Bombyx mori: one gene and its partner. The protein of the gene in region 1 purifies or fractionates together with the protein of each later gene. This does not show direct contact. Links are inferred from orthologs where the notes say so. Each region holds a gene or a part of one and is shown on either strand. Other genes may lie near its edges. The genes, in order: Cpr and ER membrane protein complex subunit 4.

Region 1 (8,494 bases):
TATGGGCTCCGGTAACCATTTAACACCAGGTGGAATGAGCTCCCCTCCACGGTGTTTCCCGAGCGCTATGACATGTCCTTCTTCAAACGAGGCTTGTGGAGAGTATTAAGCGGTAGGCAGCGGCTTGGCTCTGCCCCTGGCATTGCTGAAGCCCATGGGCGACGGTAACCACTCACCATCAGGTGGGCCGTATGCTCGTCTGCCTACAAGGGTAATAAAAACAAAAAGGTGGGCCGTGAGCTGGTTCACTCTTCTGTGGAATGCAAAAATCATTTTCATGTATTACATTATTAATCGTTTGTAGGCTTCCAATGCAGACCCAAACACCAATAATAATGGTGGGACCGGGGACTGGATTGGCGCCCTTCCGAGGTTTTCTTCAAGACCGCGCATTCGTCCGCGCCAGTGGGAAAGAAGTGGGCGAGAACATCCTTTACTTTGGATGCAGACATCGTGATGAGGATTACATCTACCAAGAGGTACTTATAACTTATGTTACATATGCACTTACACGGGTTAGTGGTATACTGTTTTGTACATGTAAAATCCGGACACGAGTAACTGTTACTAAACGCATGTAAAACACCCTTTTGTAAAAACAAATCGCCCGGCACATGTTGTGCGTCGATGTTATTATTAAAAATACATTTGAAGTGTTTGAACAATAACTGCTTAAGGCTTCAATGTAAAGTTTGACGAAGCCAAAATCGTGATAGAAATAAGACTAGAGTAAGACTAAGTATAAATTAATTGGGTGAATCTTGATACGAATGAGGTCGGAGGTGAGGCCAATCTGTTTGTAAACAGAGATGAATATAGACTTCAGTCTATGAATTATTGTGCGGACTCAAGGTAAATAGAAAGAGCAAGAAACTAGGGCATTAGGGGTCAACTGTATTGTGGTATATTAGAAGAGTTTAGTGAATCACTGGACCCGACCGTGTCTTTGTAGTTTTGTTTTTCTACCTAATCGCCTAGTAGCTTTAGGGCACAGATAACGGAAAAGATAGGGTTATCTGTGCTTTAAGGGCTCTTCCAGCTACGCTACAACTGGTAAGTGAGCTCACGGACTCATCATGAGATAATTTGCTAACACTAGCCCTAGCAAGAGCGATGCTTTGCGGAATCTACCACCGAATCGAAATCGTGACCCACTGAGAAGATCCGGCGAGAAACTCAGTGGGCTAATTATGTATCCGCTGCATTATATTACACGCTTAATCTACCAAACCTATAGTGATTTCTATTATTGTAATACCAAAGCCGTAATCGTTGACAGAATTATGTCGTTTTTATGAACGTTATCTTGAAGCAATTTGTCCTTAAACACATTAGGGAACGTACCCATACTACGTGACCAATTTTTTTAGTTTTTTCGACCTCTCCCTCCCCTCGATGATCACTCGTAGTATATGCCAAGACCCCCCCTCTCCCCTTTTAGTTTTCACGTAGTAATTCACAATTATGATTTTTAATCATTTCACAGGCAATTCTATTAATAATAGATGTTCTTCATTTTCAATAGTTTTCTATCTTTAGTTTTTAGATTTTCAATAGTAATAAAATATGTGCTTGCTAAACTAAGGAGACAAGATTGAATAATTCATGCGGAAATAAGTTCCACGAGTTCATTCGAACATGAAACTTTTCGCTATTGTTTCGTGTGAATTAAAATTTATAATGTTTTTCGAATAAATTAATTATAATTATTTTAACATTGGAGTACATTCATTTTATTTCATATTCGCGATTTATTTTTCATTGTATTTTTCTTGACAATTGTAACTAATTAATTTACAGCTTGTCATAATTAATAATGCTCGGATTTTATTATTATTAATCAAAACAAACTGTAGATATGTCAGATATGGTGATACACCATCAGATTCGGATTTTTCCTTTTTTTTAATGTATAGACTAGTGAATGAGCTCACGGCCCACCTGGTGTTAAGTGGTTACCGGATCGATCTCGTGGACATCACATTGTGAATGTTGCTCCCCACCTTTTGAGCCTAGTCACATGAGTTCGAAGTCTAATAATATTAGAATAACTGCGAATACTCGTGTTTTAGTTGGACGGTTAAACAATAACCTTGAATGAAAGACACTTTTGCGACAGACACCGATATTAGACTTTACAGAAAACCAAAGATAAATGGTTCATCCAAATTTTTACTCGGTATAATATTGTGGTATAATATTCATAACACAATATTTTATAATGAATTTTAGATAGATCGTCTTGATGATTTTAACACAGCATTTTTTTTAAATCTAAATAAGGTTAGTGAAGAATATCGTTCAATAGAGTACAGATATTGATTGAATTAATATTCTTTCTCCAGTTTAATCTCGTGTTTATTTTTGTCTTCGTATTATTACGGACGTTTAAAATACTTTTTACAGTTTTCGTGAGCATACACGACTAAGCTTTTATTTGTCATCTGTAGTTTAAGCTAACTACCGTCTAATTTTTAATACAACCAAATAATTTTCACTACAAACACCAAAGAAAATAAATACTTCATCAAATCACACAATCAAATTCATTTGTTTATTGGCCCTTAATAATTTCTTTGAAATTAAGTTATAACGCAATCGATCGAACGATTATATGAATAAGGAAATTTAATAGGAATTTATTTCTGTTTGATCTCCCTTTTGTATAGTTAAATCCAACCTCTGCTTCCTTGAGGGATCACTCACCTCTTAGAAATAATACGTCATTGTTTATCAGCACAAAAACTATTCTTTGTTCTCTTTTTTTTAGCACGATTCCAAAGTCTACTACGTGTTTTTTGCAATAATCAAGACAGGTATAAAAATACATTACAAACAAATAGACACGAGAGGAAAATGAAAAGCAATATTATCGATGCGATCTGAGCGACGCATCGATTTCCTATTTCTGTTATATACAGTCTTTAATTTGTCACATAAAGACTAATAAATATCTCAAAAGCAATAAATAAAGTCCATTCTCATTTACCACACCGCAACATAATATGCAAACTCGTTTTGAAGCATGAAGATTATTTATTTGATTAAAAAAAAATCTGAGTACTTGTCAGATCAAAACATTTTAAATTTTTGAACGGGTTTTTGAAGGGAAAAGGAACGCTCTGTTCCTTTTCAGAAAAACGGAAGTTGGAGCAAAATTTTTATAATGAAATCGAACATTAACTTTATCAGATTACTAGCGACCCGCCCTCGCTTCGCTTCGGAAACTGTAACTTATTATTGATTTCTCCACTATTTACTGGATGTTATTATACATATAAACCTTCCTCTTCAATCACTCTATCTATTAAAAAAACCGCATCAAAATCCGTTGCGCAGTTTTTAAGATTTAAGCATACATAGGGATATAGGGACAGAGAAAGCGACTTTGTTTTATACTATGTAGTGATAGTGCGTTCTCTGTCTAGGATAAAATGAAAACGTGCTTAATTTCTTTGTTTCCTAATTAATTTTAGTTGGTTTTTCGTTGAGCGACTATACTTATGTTAAGCTTAGTCAATAAAAATAATTACTCGGATTGTTTCAATTGAATGAAAAGATTGCGATCGAAACTTTAGATGTAACGATTTTTAACCGTACTATACGCAATTTTCTTATTGGTCTTGACCTTTAAAAAACTTTGAAATTTTGTAGTTAAATATTTAAATATCGCTTAAGTACCAATTTAAGTAAACGGTCTGACCTTGTTCAGTTTCAAACTGTTGTTATAACATTCTCGCGTGTTAAATTATTAATTTTTGAATGATGTTGTTTGTTGTTGCGTCTTTTGTTAAATTGAAGTTGGTACGTTTGTACAGTTGCGGTTGTTATACACCATAACGCCAACTCGTGATAAAAGGTACGCGTCAATAAACGGGTGTCTAAGATAATATATTTATTGACTAGCTGACCCGGCAGACTTCGCAGTGCCTCAATCGATAAATAAAAAACCTAAACTTTTGTATAAAATAAACTTAAAATAAACAAAAGGAATCCGTCGGACGGGGGACACATCAAAGGAAAAACAAAATTGTTATTTTTATTTAATTCCGAGCATTTTCATATTTATCTACCTTTTAAACCTTCTCTGGACTTCCACAAATAATACAAGACCAAAATTAGCCAAATCGGTCCAGCTGTTCTCGAGTTTTAGCGAGACTAACGAACAGCAATTCATTTTTATATATGTAGATGGTAATTTATACTAATACAGTCAAACTAATTATGTTACAGGAACTAGAGGAATACGAAAAGAATGGTGACGTAAAACTGAACTTAGCATTTTCACGCGACCAAGCGAACAAAGTTTACGTTACACATTTACTCGAAAATAATATGGACGAACTATGGGATGTTATCGGAAATAGGAATGGAAATTTCTACATTTGCGGGTAATGTATATTTATTTTATAGGTTGGTAAAATAAAAGAGATATATTGCGTGGCAGAGAGGATAAATAATGTGATGGAATGGCAGTTAACGCATGATACAAGGTGAAGATGATACGCGCGGCTGTTGGTGATTCCATTGCGCAGTCTATTCTATGTATTTAGATTGCCGTGATCGACTGGTTGGCCGCCCCAGCTCTAGTTATATGAATAATATTATGATAGCAGTTTTTAATGTTTTTTTTTATTGCTCTTGAAGGCAGACGAGTATACGGCCCATCTGATGGTCAGTGGTTACCGTCGCCCATGGACTTCAGCAGTGCCAGGGGCAGAGCCAAGCCGCTGCCTATCAAACTCGATTCGACTGAAGGGATCGATAACTCATATGCGCTCTGGTTGTTATTGTAAATGCTAATTTGGAAAATATTATTTATTCTTCAGTGACGCGAAAAACATGGCTGTGGACGTAAGGAACATTGTGTTGAAAGCTATAAAAGAGAAAGGCGGCCGCACAGAGACGGAGGCCGTGCAGTTCCTCAAGAAGTTAGAATCCGTCAAGAAATATTCTTCGGACGTTTGGAGTTAAACTCCTGCACTGAGATCGTTCACTCGAAGAAACTTCCTGTTCTATAAGAATGAAATGCTGGCAAAGTTTATAAAGATAGGCCTTAACGATTGTGATGCGAAACTCGTAAACTAATCTGTACAAGAGAACAGTGAATTTCGGGAAATTTGAACAAACTAAATAATATAATAGAGTAAAATGTTCAGCAACATTTAAATCTGATAAACAGGTAGTTCAAATATGTTAATGTACCTTAAATCAGTAAATAACAAAAGCATTAGAAAGTCATGAAATAAAATGTTCTAACAACATGTACGTATGGTACATGAGTGTAGTAAATTAATTATTATATACGGGCTTGCTGGTTGTGAGACCGGGAAAATGAATGGTTTGGATGGATTTTTTTTTAATTATTATTGGCATTGTTGTCAACTGTAGTGTTTACATGACAATTCGACTAATTCAGATCTACGTAGTTCTTGCAAAATATTATGTTGTTGTTCAAATAACAGCTTCAATAAATTTGTAATTTGGTATAATTATAGAAAGGACAAAAACCGCATAGTGAGACAAATTGCAAATTAAATCTCATTTAATCATTATTTAATTCGTATAGCTAGCGTAAGATTTACTTTCAATATATTTATTAATGTGATGATATAGTTATGAATGGATAAGTAGCTCATTTTTATTGGCCAAATAATAACTATTATATTATTTTAATACGGAATGAAGACATCATTAAATCTTAAAAATGCTGGGCCCGCTCTAGGCTAAAAAATAGGTTTGAAAATGTACATTAATGATTCCAAATTGACCTAATAATACAATTTAAAAATATAGTTTGTACAATTTTCAATCTGTAAATAATTGCCTATTAACAAATCCAGTGAATAATATCTATTCAAAATTATTGGGTGTATCAGATTTTAAACGTAAAACGTAAATTGACTTTTATACTGTTGTTAATGTTAATTGTTATTTTAAATACGTTTTTATATTTATACATACAGGGTCTGGTCGATAAATAAACTATTGAAATAATAATATAATAATATATGGTACATTTAATATCAAGAAGGCTGTCGTAAAAATACTACATAAAATGTTACATTTTTATTTGTGTAAGTGGACATGGGACATAAGTATACGTACTTTTATAACAATTACGAATTTATAATAAAAATTGATAAACCCTAATTGTGTCTTTATTTGCAACGTATTCAAGTTTTTTTTATTCCAAGGCTAAAATGGCCAAATTCCAGTCATAATTTGTTTCACTTAATAGCGTTAACAATTGACAACATACGAGAGCATTGAGTGGGATTCTTTACTCTTGAGATACCTACCCACCCACCCAGCGTAGGCGCAGGCTGATGAGACACTATATGTCACCCAGGTGCTTACCTACCTACCTAGTGCTAAAATAATAGTAATCTAACTTATTTTTATTACACACAATATAGGACTGTCTGTAAGCCATCAGTGTTAAGAGGTAACCGGAACTGATAAAATAAAAATGTGTTTTTTTATTCAAATAAGGTACAAAGTACGATTTAAAAGTGCATGTGAATCTGAAGAAATCTTCATAACTTCACGTCACATTTGGAACGCAATTGCAACATATCGGCTGCCCCAACTTTCAATCGGAACACATTAGCAGTAGGCAGGGAATGGCTATACCTCTGGCATTTCTAAAATCAATGCGCGACTATGACTACTTATCTTTACTTATTTGCTTACAATACTGATAAATTGCACGTTCCATCATATCTTTCAAATGCCTTAACATATTTAATTGTTTGAGATATTGTTAGAATCTTTACATCATCCCGAGTGATACATAAATTTTGAGGTCGTCGTGGCCTAAAGGATAAGACGGCCGGTGCATTAAGGTCGTCGTGGCTTAAGGGATAAGACGTCCGGTGCATTCGTGTCTAGCGATGCACCGGTATTCGAATCCTGCAGGCGGATACCAATGAAGGAATAACATCGTGTAATAAAAATCAAATCCGCAAAATTATAATTTTCGTAATTACTGGTGGTGGGAGGTCTTGAGTCCGCACGGGTAGGTACCACCACCCTGCCTATTTGTGCCGTGAAGCAGTAGGTAATGCGTTTCGGTCTGAAGGGTGGGGCAGCCGTTGTAACTATACCGAGACCTTAGAATTTATGTCTCAAGGTGGGTAGCGTATTTACGTTGTAGATGTCTACGGGTTCTAGTAACCACTTAACACCAGGTGGGCTGTGAGCTCGTCCAGCCATTTAAACAATAAAAAAACAAAAAAACAAAATGTACTTATTTTTGGTAGGGGGCCCGCTAGAGCAATCTTCATTTCCTAAAAATTTCATCGATGTCGGTGCAGCCGTTTCAGTCTTTTGGGCACATATTTTTAGGACGTCATCATAGTAGCTGACAAGACGTTCCGCTTGCAGTAGATACTGTTAGAGAACGGATATGGAATAAGAATATTTTTTTAGGATGGAGGGATTGTTGATGGCTCTGACGACTTCCAATTCAATTCGAAGCCAGCATATTTTTCTGCAGCTCTTCTAAGCGTCATTTTTCCGGAATTTGTCATTTTATCTTGTTACCTGATATTAAGTGTCGTACCTATACAGACCACATTTTGATTTTATGATGTTGGTGTTGACAGACGGAATTAACATCCAAACACGGGTCCTTGTTATATATAGTAAATTGAAGTTTTAGGCTTTATTGTTGCGAGTTCACGGTCTCCCTGGTTTTAAATGGATATGAAGATCCATAGAGATATCGGGCGGTATTCCCAGAGCCATTCTATTTCGATTATTTCATTCTTGAGCAGGAACGTAATTGCCTCGATTCATAAATATACATGGTTAAACGAACCCATGTCTTAGGACAGCATTTAAAAAAAAAAAAAAGGACAGCCTTTACAGTTTTATCGAAATAGATAAGAGAGCACGGCTCGACCAGGAAGGGTGGAAATTACTAACTTCGAGGCATTTGTTATCGAATGTTTTTTCTAAGGAATAAAACCACAAGAATGGAATTTTATGAATAAAATTTCCATACATTTTTAAAACGATAATTTATTGATTTAACCGCAAATATATTAGTTTATGTACAAGTTAGGGACGTCAACAAAATGCAAACAGACAGCCTGTATTGTATCCATACATCAACTTGAGAGTCGATTAAAATTTAATACAGTTCGGCTGACTTATTTATACTATGATAATCAAACAGCTAAAAACTGCACACTTCAAAATTATGGAAGTTTTTTTAATACTAAATTTACCAGATAAGCCAAGTACACTACACATAACGCAATACAAGCGAATCAATAAAACAAACTAACTCTCAACACATTAAATACTGCAATAAACCGTAAAGAACATTCAAGTATCAAATTTTCCTATGACTACTCAATTTCTACTATGTACATGAATTTATACTAATTTCTAACACGAATTCAGGATTTTATTAACGCTCATTATAAAATCGTTATGAACATTCGTATGCCAAAAGATACTTGTAGCGTAATTAAAAAGTGCC
Region 2 (7,691 bases), on another chromosome or scaffold:
CACAAATGGCTTCCTTGGGATCTTTAGGGCAGTCTCTGTATAGGTGTTCTTCACCGCAGATGGTGCATTTTTGCGAATTCTTACAAAATTTGCCGATATGACCGTAGCGTAGACAACGCAGGCATTGGCTAACTGGTGGAATGTATAGGCTTACCTCGAAGTACCATGAATCTATATCAACACTGTCTGGTAATGTAGGGCAGGCGAAAGTTAAGGCAACTGTTTGGGTGGGCAGCAAACACGATTTGCCGTCCTCATCGCGGCCTCGACGCATAAGTCGACGCACGGAAACTACATCTCTGGAACTTGATAATCCATTATATATGTTTTTGTTCGACATATAAGTGGGAACATTTCGAATTACACCAGTAGTTTCAGTGAGTAAAGCGGGAATTGATGCTTTTAGGTGCAGGTCCTTTAATGTTTTGGTATTATATAGGGCGCTATTAGCTAACCCTGGCCGCTCGAATATAGCTCCGATTTTGTATTTGTTTATTCTCTTAAATCTTTTTATGCCCTTGTTGCCTCGTTTCAATGAAGCGCCAAGGGACATGAGGTCTCTGTCGCCTATTGGCCTGGTTTCGGAACTTTCATATATTACAATATATTCAAAATTACCGCCATCTTCTGGATACTGACGGCAGTAATTTTCCGATTTATAAATGGTATACTTATCAGTTTCAGCAGTATCGGTCGAAGTATCTGAGTCGTCGACACTTGCCACATCTTGATGTAGATCGTCGGCTTTGCGCTTTTTGCGCTTGCCCCTCATGTTGAAGCGCACCTATAAATAGTGAGATTATATGCCTGGTTACAAATTCCTGGTAAAAACAATTTGTGAAAATTTTCTTTCAAAAAATTCCGCCTAATAGGTTTGACTTCCCGCCAAAAAGTCCTGGACAATATGGTTTACGTTAATATTTTTTAGATGTTATATTTCACCATGGAGTTAATAAGTACCTACAACTGGAGTGCTGTCTAATGCCGAGAAATCGGTCTCGAAAGAGAATACTTTTTGGTCGCGGTGTCCTTGTCTAATGTGGTGACCATATAAAATTTATTTATAGGACAAAATTATACACATGCATCAGTTTTGAATTTACCTTAAGTAATTCTGTGTAGCCCTATGTAAATACAAAACACGTGCTTGCAATAGTTTATTTATGTAAATTCAATTCTAAACATTTCTTCGTCGTCATTTTAACTTTTTTTCGACGTTTTTTTTTGGAAATTGCTGCGTTGTCGAAAATCTAGCACTGAGTTTTATTACAAACATCATTACCTCAGTTCTATTACTTAAACTTCCTCAAATTCATGTTTAACGTCCGAATACTCAACCGCGACTTAAATATTATGTTGAACTTAATTACGCAATTCCTACTTTAATGTACTGGCTAAGTGGGCTGTGCAAATTAATATTTGACACACTGAGTGAGACACTGCAACACACATTATCGGGTGCTCTTTTCCTACATTCACATCTTCAATTGATTTAAAATTACTTGTATTTTTACTTCTGTGCTATTTTCATGACACGTGTATATTAAGTCTACTAGTTGCATTTTAGGAAATAAAACACAATGGGTAATAAAATGAAATTAACTAAAATTCATTTATTTGTTATATGTAGACAATTAAATAACTCTTAAATGACAAGTCAATACACATAACACAATACACATAGTACTTGATCTCTATTTACAAAATATTGGTTATATTATTGTTATTATTAAGTTCAGTTAATTTTCTGTAGTCTTATAATATAACATTTCCTCTATTTTAAGTAAATTCTTTTTTTTCAACGAAATACATAATTTATTTTAATTAATATCTAAATGGACCATGAGTATCATTAAAATTTCGCAATTTAAATTTCAATTCAATTAAAAATTGCCATTTTTCTTTAATAAATCTTTTAAGTTTTTGTTTCAATACCTTAACATCTTGTCGTAATTTTGCTTTTCTCGGGGTATTTTTTATTTCTTGCGTTTGAGTACTTGATTCCTCTTGTTTGACCTTTATATAGGACATTTTCCAGAAATTCCAACGTTATACTTACTAGAAGATCCTCCTCGTTCGCTTAACGTCAGGCAAATGATATACATGCTTGCGTGCAACGCTATTCAATACAATAAAAAAGTTCAAAAAATACCACATGATGGCTCTTATAATATGAAAAATACATTGCAAAATTATAGTTTTCACGATTGTTTTTCCAAATTTAGTATATGACATAGATTAAGTACAATTTACAAGACAAATGGTATTAAATATTATAATGAGAAAAAATATCTCACATTTTAAAAATATATGCTCACACTAGTAAAAATTTATCAATGAATCTGACATATGGAAGGATATTCCACAAACTGGAGAGGATTCTCGCTTATAACCACTTACAATACAAGTGTTCACCATGATTACACGGAAACTTTCACGATTTTCGAAAAAAAACAAGCCACAAGCTGTATCAGTGCCCTTTTAACTTCAAACTACAAACGTAAATAGACGCCATTTTTCTTTTAATCCATTCATAGCTCTTTTTCGGTGATGCCAACAATTAATCTGGCTTCCCACCAAATTCAACATGAAAACCATCAGAAATCTACGTACCTACCATTAAATTTTCCATTAAACAGAGTTCTTATTAATATAGAACAATAATTTTTTTGTTAACGAGCTTTATTAATATATGATGTTCTATTAAAAATCAATATATATCATATAATCAATACTTCTCATATAATTTATTTTAATAAATTGTCATCATCAGAAACTAATTTCACCATAACTTTGTACGTTTATTTTGGACCAATTCAATTTTTTACGTTGATGGAAATTCTAAATTCTCGCAACATTTTCTAGTTAAGTTTAAGTCAAAGTCACATCGTTTAAATAATATGTATTTAGATATATTATTGTCATAAAATGTTTAAAATCCTGTAAAGTGGATTGATTTTAACCTTTTCGATAATTTTCAACAACGCCCAAGCTACTAAAAAATCCACTAACCACTAAATGCCATTTTTTATAAGTAAGATAGGGGTCCAAATTACGAGATTTTGTGGAAAATCCTCTAAGCTAGCAACACTGCTTTTTGTTTGTAAAATGTGCGAGAGGGACACCACCACTTAATAATCATTCTCTTTTCAGACCGTTTTTCCTTACATCTTTTGCTATTTAAAAATAAACTTTAAGTCATAGAGATAAAGTATATTTTTTGTTTTTATGTCAAACGAAGTAAGCACTCCAGTTAGGATAGTAACTCTATGTATTTCACACACTTTAGAAAGGCAAAGATATACAAAACAGATGTTGGTCTAAATTCTAACATTTAGATCAAGGGGTTTTAAAATTTATCCATCTCGGTAATTATACCCTAGGTCATATGTCATGGACAGAAACGTTGCTTCTTTCTGCCTCTTTCCAAGTAGACTTCTAAATGTTTATTATATTATTTATTTATTATTTTTAGAAAACTATTAATATATCTTGGCATAAAATAATACATTGTGCACCAAGGGAGAAAAGAATCCAACTTTTGTCTCGCGGTGCACATACTATTTTTTCTCCTACCAGGCTGAAAGTTCGTGGAGTACCGAGTCGGGGTCCGGGGGCGACGCCCCGGTGGGGTCCAGGGGCGAAGCCCTGGTGGGGGGTAGGGGGGGGGCGGACACCCCCCATACTCATAAAAAAAACCATTTAACTGCTTTTTAATTTTTAAATAAACTACTACTAATTGAATAAGAACTGTCTGATGAACTTATCTTTGTTTAACACAATATTGCAAATTACCCGAGCACAACAATGGCGGAGAATTTCAGGTGCGTGAGAGCAGACGTAGATACTAACGCGCATGCGCACTTGTATCCAGGGAGAAAAAGTTACACTTTCTTCCCTGTACAGCGGGACGAAAACCGAACTTTCGGCGTCGGTAGGAGAAAAAAATATGCTTAAGTTGGTAATTTGACTAAAAGGCTGTCGATTTGGTTAAGCTTTCGATGTTGTGGAAGTTAGCGGAAAAGATAAAAGCGAATAAAAGATCATCATAGTTTCAATATCGAAATAAATGAATTAATTTTATTTTTATGGGTTTTATAGTGTAAATAACTATTTAAATTGGGGTTTGCAGTTAGAAAAAATGCAAAACATGAGACATTAAATTTGTAGCAAATGAATAGCGTTGTATTGTGTAAAATTTTCCATACATGAGATTGCGTTTCCTGTTGTACCGATTTATTTAATTACCTCCTCCATGTATTTTCACAAATATTAAATAATTAATAAACAATCATATAAATCGATGTGTGAATAATTACAGCGGTATGGTCAAAACAATTTTCATAACATCGCTCTTTATATCTCAATCACTCAACACTCTTCAAAGAAAGCTTTGGCTTTACAATACTGGATAAGGCTGTTTGGGCATTATTTCCCATGCTTGTCTAAAGGACGAATGAAATTAAAAAAGTCTGTGACATATACGATTATCACGTAGAAAATAAATATTTCAAGATTCCGAATTACGATTTTCAGTGATAAAATAGTACTCAATAGATATAATTATTGTACCGCTGTTTCTCAAGTAAACCTTAAGTTACTTTATTTATTATTACTATTTTTCACGTGGATCGTAACAATGTCTCAGCTCAAATCAAATAAAAAACTTAAATGGGCTTTAGATTTTAATCAAAAGTAAGTAATGCGTTTCTTAAACAGTTTAATACACAAATACTTATCAAATTTATTTCAAATTGCAATGTTTCCAGGAATAAACAACTTTCAACAGAACTGCCCTCACCCCCAGGTTACAGTCAGTCTTCAAACGCTAATTATGCCGAATCATCAAAAGATTCGGACTCAAATTTACTCCTCATTAAAAAACTATGGGATGTGGCATTGGGCCCTTTGAAACAAGTACCCATGAATCTTTTTATTATGTACATGGCTGGTAACTCTATCTCTATATTTCCAATAATGATGGTTGGCATGTTAATAGTGAGGCCGGTGAAGGCGCTGTTTGCTACACAAAGTACTTTCAAAATGGTTGAAGGTACACAAGCTATCGGACAAAAAATTGTTTATTGTATCGGAAATATAGTAAACATTCTTTTAGCACTCTATAAGTGTCAGAGTATGGGATTGTTACCAACTCACTCAAGTGATTGGTTGGCATTTGAAGAGCCTCAAACAAGACTCGAACATATTGGAGGTGGTTTATCACTTATATGAATTTAATTTAGTTACTAGGGAAAAATGTTAGTTTAAAAGATTCACAGTTTGAATTGTATTTATTATACTATTATTGTAAAACTAATAATAAATATGTACAAACAATTAATAACAATTTTATTTCATAATTCCTGTTCCCATTTTCCTAATTTTAATCTTTTTTTCCATCTTGTACTTCAGAAAGTTTTGATTTCACGAAAGCTTGTGCCTTTTCAAACAGTGCTTTAGGATCTTCTACTTTTTCTATCTGTAAGGAAAATTCAAATTTAATTGAAACAATATCATAAAATGCAAGGTTCTCACAACTATTTCCTGGCTCAATAAACAAGAAAAAAAACAAACCATTTCTTTTTTTCCATAGCCTTGTCACAGTTCTGTACAGATTTCTGACAAATTACTTGGACTGCATCCTGAATTTAAAAGCAGCTTGTTAATTTTTAACAATTTTATACTGATAAATTGGTGTTAGAACAAAAGAGGCCATGTAATTTTACTAAATAAATAAATTTACTGAACCAGGATTATAATGGACAGAGATGTTCAATTATTAGGTGACCAATCAACTACAAATACATGTGTCTGGCCTCCTTTGTGTTCTGTAAAAATGATAATTGTACCTGATAATTTTGTGCTACATAGACACCGGTGTAAACTCCTGCACCAAATATTATCTGAAAAACAATTAAGAAGGTAACATTATATTATGCAATAGTAGAACTAGATCTATCAATGAAATTTATTGATTTTATCTGTCATTAGTGTTTCAGCACGGAAGCAAGCATGTCTATTTAATTTACATTTATACACAAAAATATGTTTACATGCAACTGTGTATTTTATTATTACTTGGATTTTTTTGGTGGGAACGCGAGGAGTGAAGTTGTGTGATTTATTTTATTTTGTCTATTTAGTGTTTCTTCAGATTTAAATGTCTAATAACGGAGGTTTATTAACTGTTTAATATCGGTGAGAGTGCACAAATGTAGGAAAACGAAACAAAGCCGCTGGACCTAACTTCTCGGGATCCTCTAAAAAGTCCACTGAAAAAATCTCAGTTAATGACCACCATTATACTGAGATTATATTTCATCCCATTTCATTTAATTTCATCCCAGTTGATTAATGTCTCAAATTAAACATCTTTATTTTATTTAACTCCATATGAGCATTTTTCATAAAAATAAGAATTTATACTAAAATAAGAAATCACCTAAAGGTCTTAGTTACCAGGTCATAAAATCTCTTAAAAAATATTATTTATTACATTCAATGGCGATCGACGTTACTCCATTTTTCACAATTTTTCACTTGTTTACAATAACCATAATGAATTAGGTCAGGCTCAAACTTTTAAATTTTTATAATCTTAATTAGTACTGATACCGTTAGCATTTTCATACATTTACGGGTATTTAAATTATGTTAATTATTAATTATATAATGTGTAGAATAAACTTACAGAGGTTTTAACGATAGAAAAGAAAAAGCCCATTCTATATATATTTTCAAAATACAAGAAATATCTTTTGGTGTTGTTCAAGACATTTTTCGTATTATTTGTCAAATTTTACATATTTCAAGGTATGTGACATTGACATTTCAATTTTTAAATTATTGTTGACCGTATGTAGTTTATATGTATGTAGTAAAAATGCAAGCATTAGGTTGGGCAAAATTGGCACTTAGGAAGCTTTTAATCCGACGAGAACCGATGTCCTTACAGTAGAAATGTACGACCAATGCATGTCGGAGATTGTAGTAAACATAAGAATAAAACACTCTAAATTCTAAGACTTATAGAACAAATTCCGCAAAGACGCCGAAGTTCATTCTTTAATAAAGAAGAAAGTATCTAAGCAATGAGTCGCACCTAGTTTGTGTAAGTGGACACGTAGGTGTCGAGGGAAAAACCAAACGAGTTGGTTATGAAAAAGGGGTTTAAAAAAGGCAATGATAGGATTCAAACCGCATTACCGAACACTAACCGAATTAATGGATGGAGGTAGTACTTCAAAAGCAAATCCATCCTGGAATACATCGGAATTTGAGGAGAATGAAGAATTTCTAAGTACTTTTACAAACAAAGCCTGCTGACTTTGTAGTCAACTGAAACATTTTTGGGCCCTTGTTGGGCATTTCCGTGCCCATGTAAAACGAATCTGACGGACGATGCAACATTTTGCTACTTGAAGGAAGTAGAAACTATGCATAACGTTGCCTACGTTGTTATTATGAGTGACTGTCTAGTGCGGACAATAATAGACAACTTAGTAGGCCAGGAAATGACAAAAAATCCTAATCCTCAGGTTGTTTGCTAAAATAACGTGAAGGAAGAAATTCCTATGAAAATGACTTCTGCATCTTACGCAGCTTTATACACTGAGTTTTCAGAAAGTATATTCTCTGCCTTAAAGTGAAGATTATTCGTCTGACTTTAGTAGGTAGTTTTCACTGGATTT

Evidence for each region.
Region 2: the proteins of Cpr (region 1) and ER membrane protein complex subunit 4 purify together in Homo sapiens (affinity purification with mass spectrometry; 3 studies listed by BioGRID and IntAct, with this or other methods). This does not show direct contact. The link is inferred for Bombyx mori from reciprocal best matches to the Homo sapiens genes POR and EMC4.

Annotation. Positions count from the first base shown.
Region 1 is NC_085116.1:8,007,238-8,015,731, reverse strand, and holds the end of Cpr (NADPH cytochrome P450 reductase), read left to right. Parts: intron 1-304; coding exon 305-479; intron 480-4,233; coding exon 4,234-4,391; intron 4,392-4,829; coding exon 4,830-4,974; exon of another isoform or gene 4,975-4,975; 3' UTR 4,976-6,151; downstream 6,152-8,494. UniProt on the Homo sapiens protein: This enzyme is required for electron transfer from NADP to cytochrome P450 in microsomes. It can also provide electron transfer to heme oxygenase and cytochrome B5.
Region 2 is NC_085110.1:12,130,965-12,138,655, forward strand, and holds ER membrane protein complex subunit 4, read left to right. Parts: upstream 1-4,463; 5' UTR 4,464-4,639; coding exon 4,640-4,695; intron 4,696-4,769; coding exon 4,770-5,232; 3' UTR 5,233-5,347; downstream 5,348-7,691. UniProt on the Homo sapiens protein: Part of the endoplasmic reticulum membrane protein complex (EMC) that enables the energy-independent insertion into endoplasmic reticulum membranes of newly synthesized membrane proteins.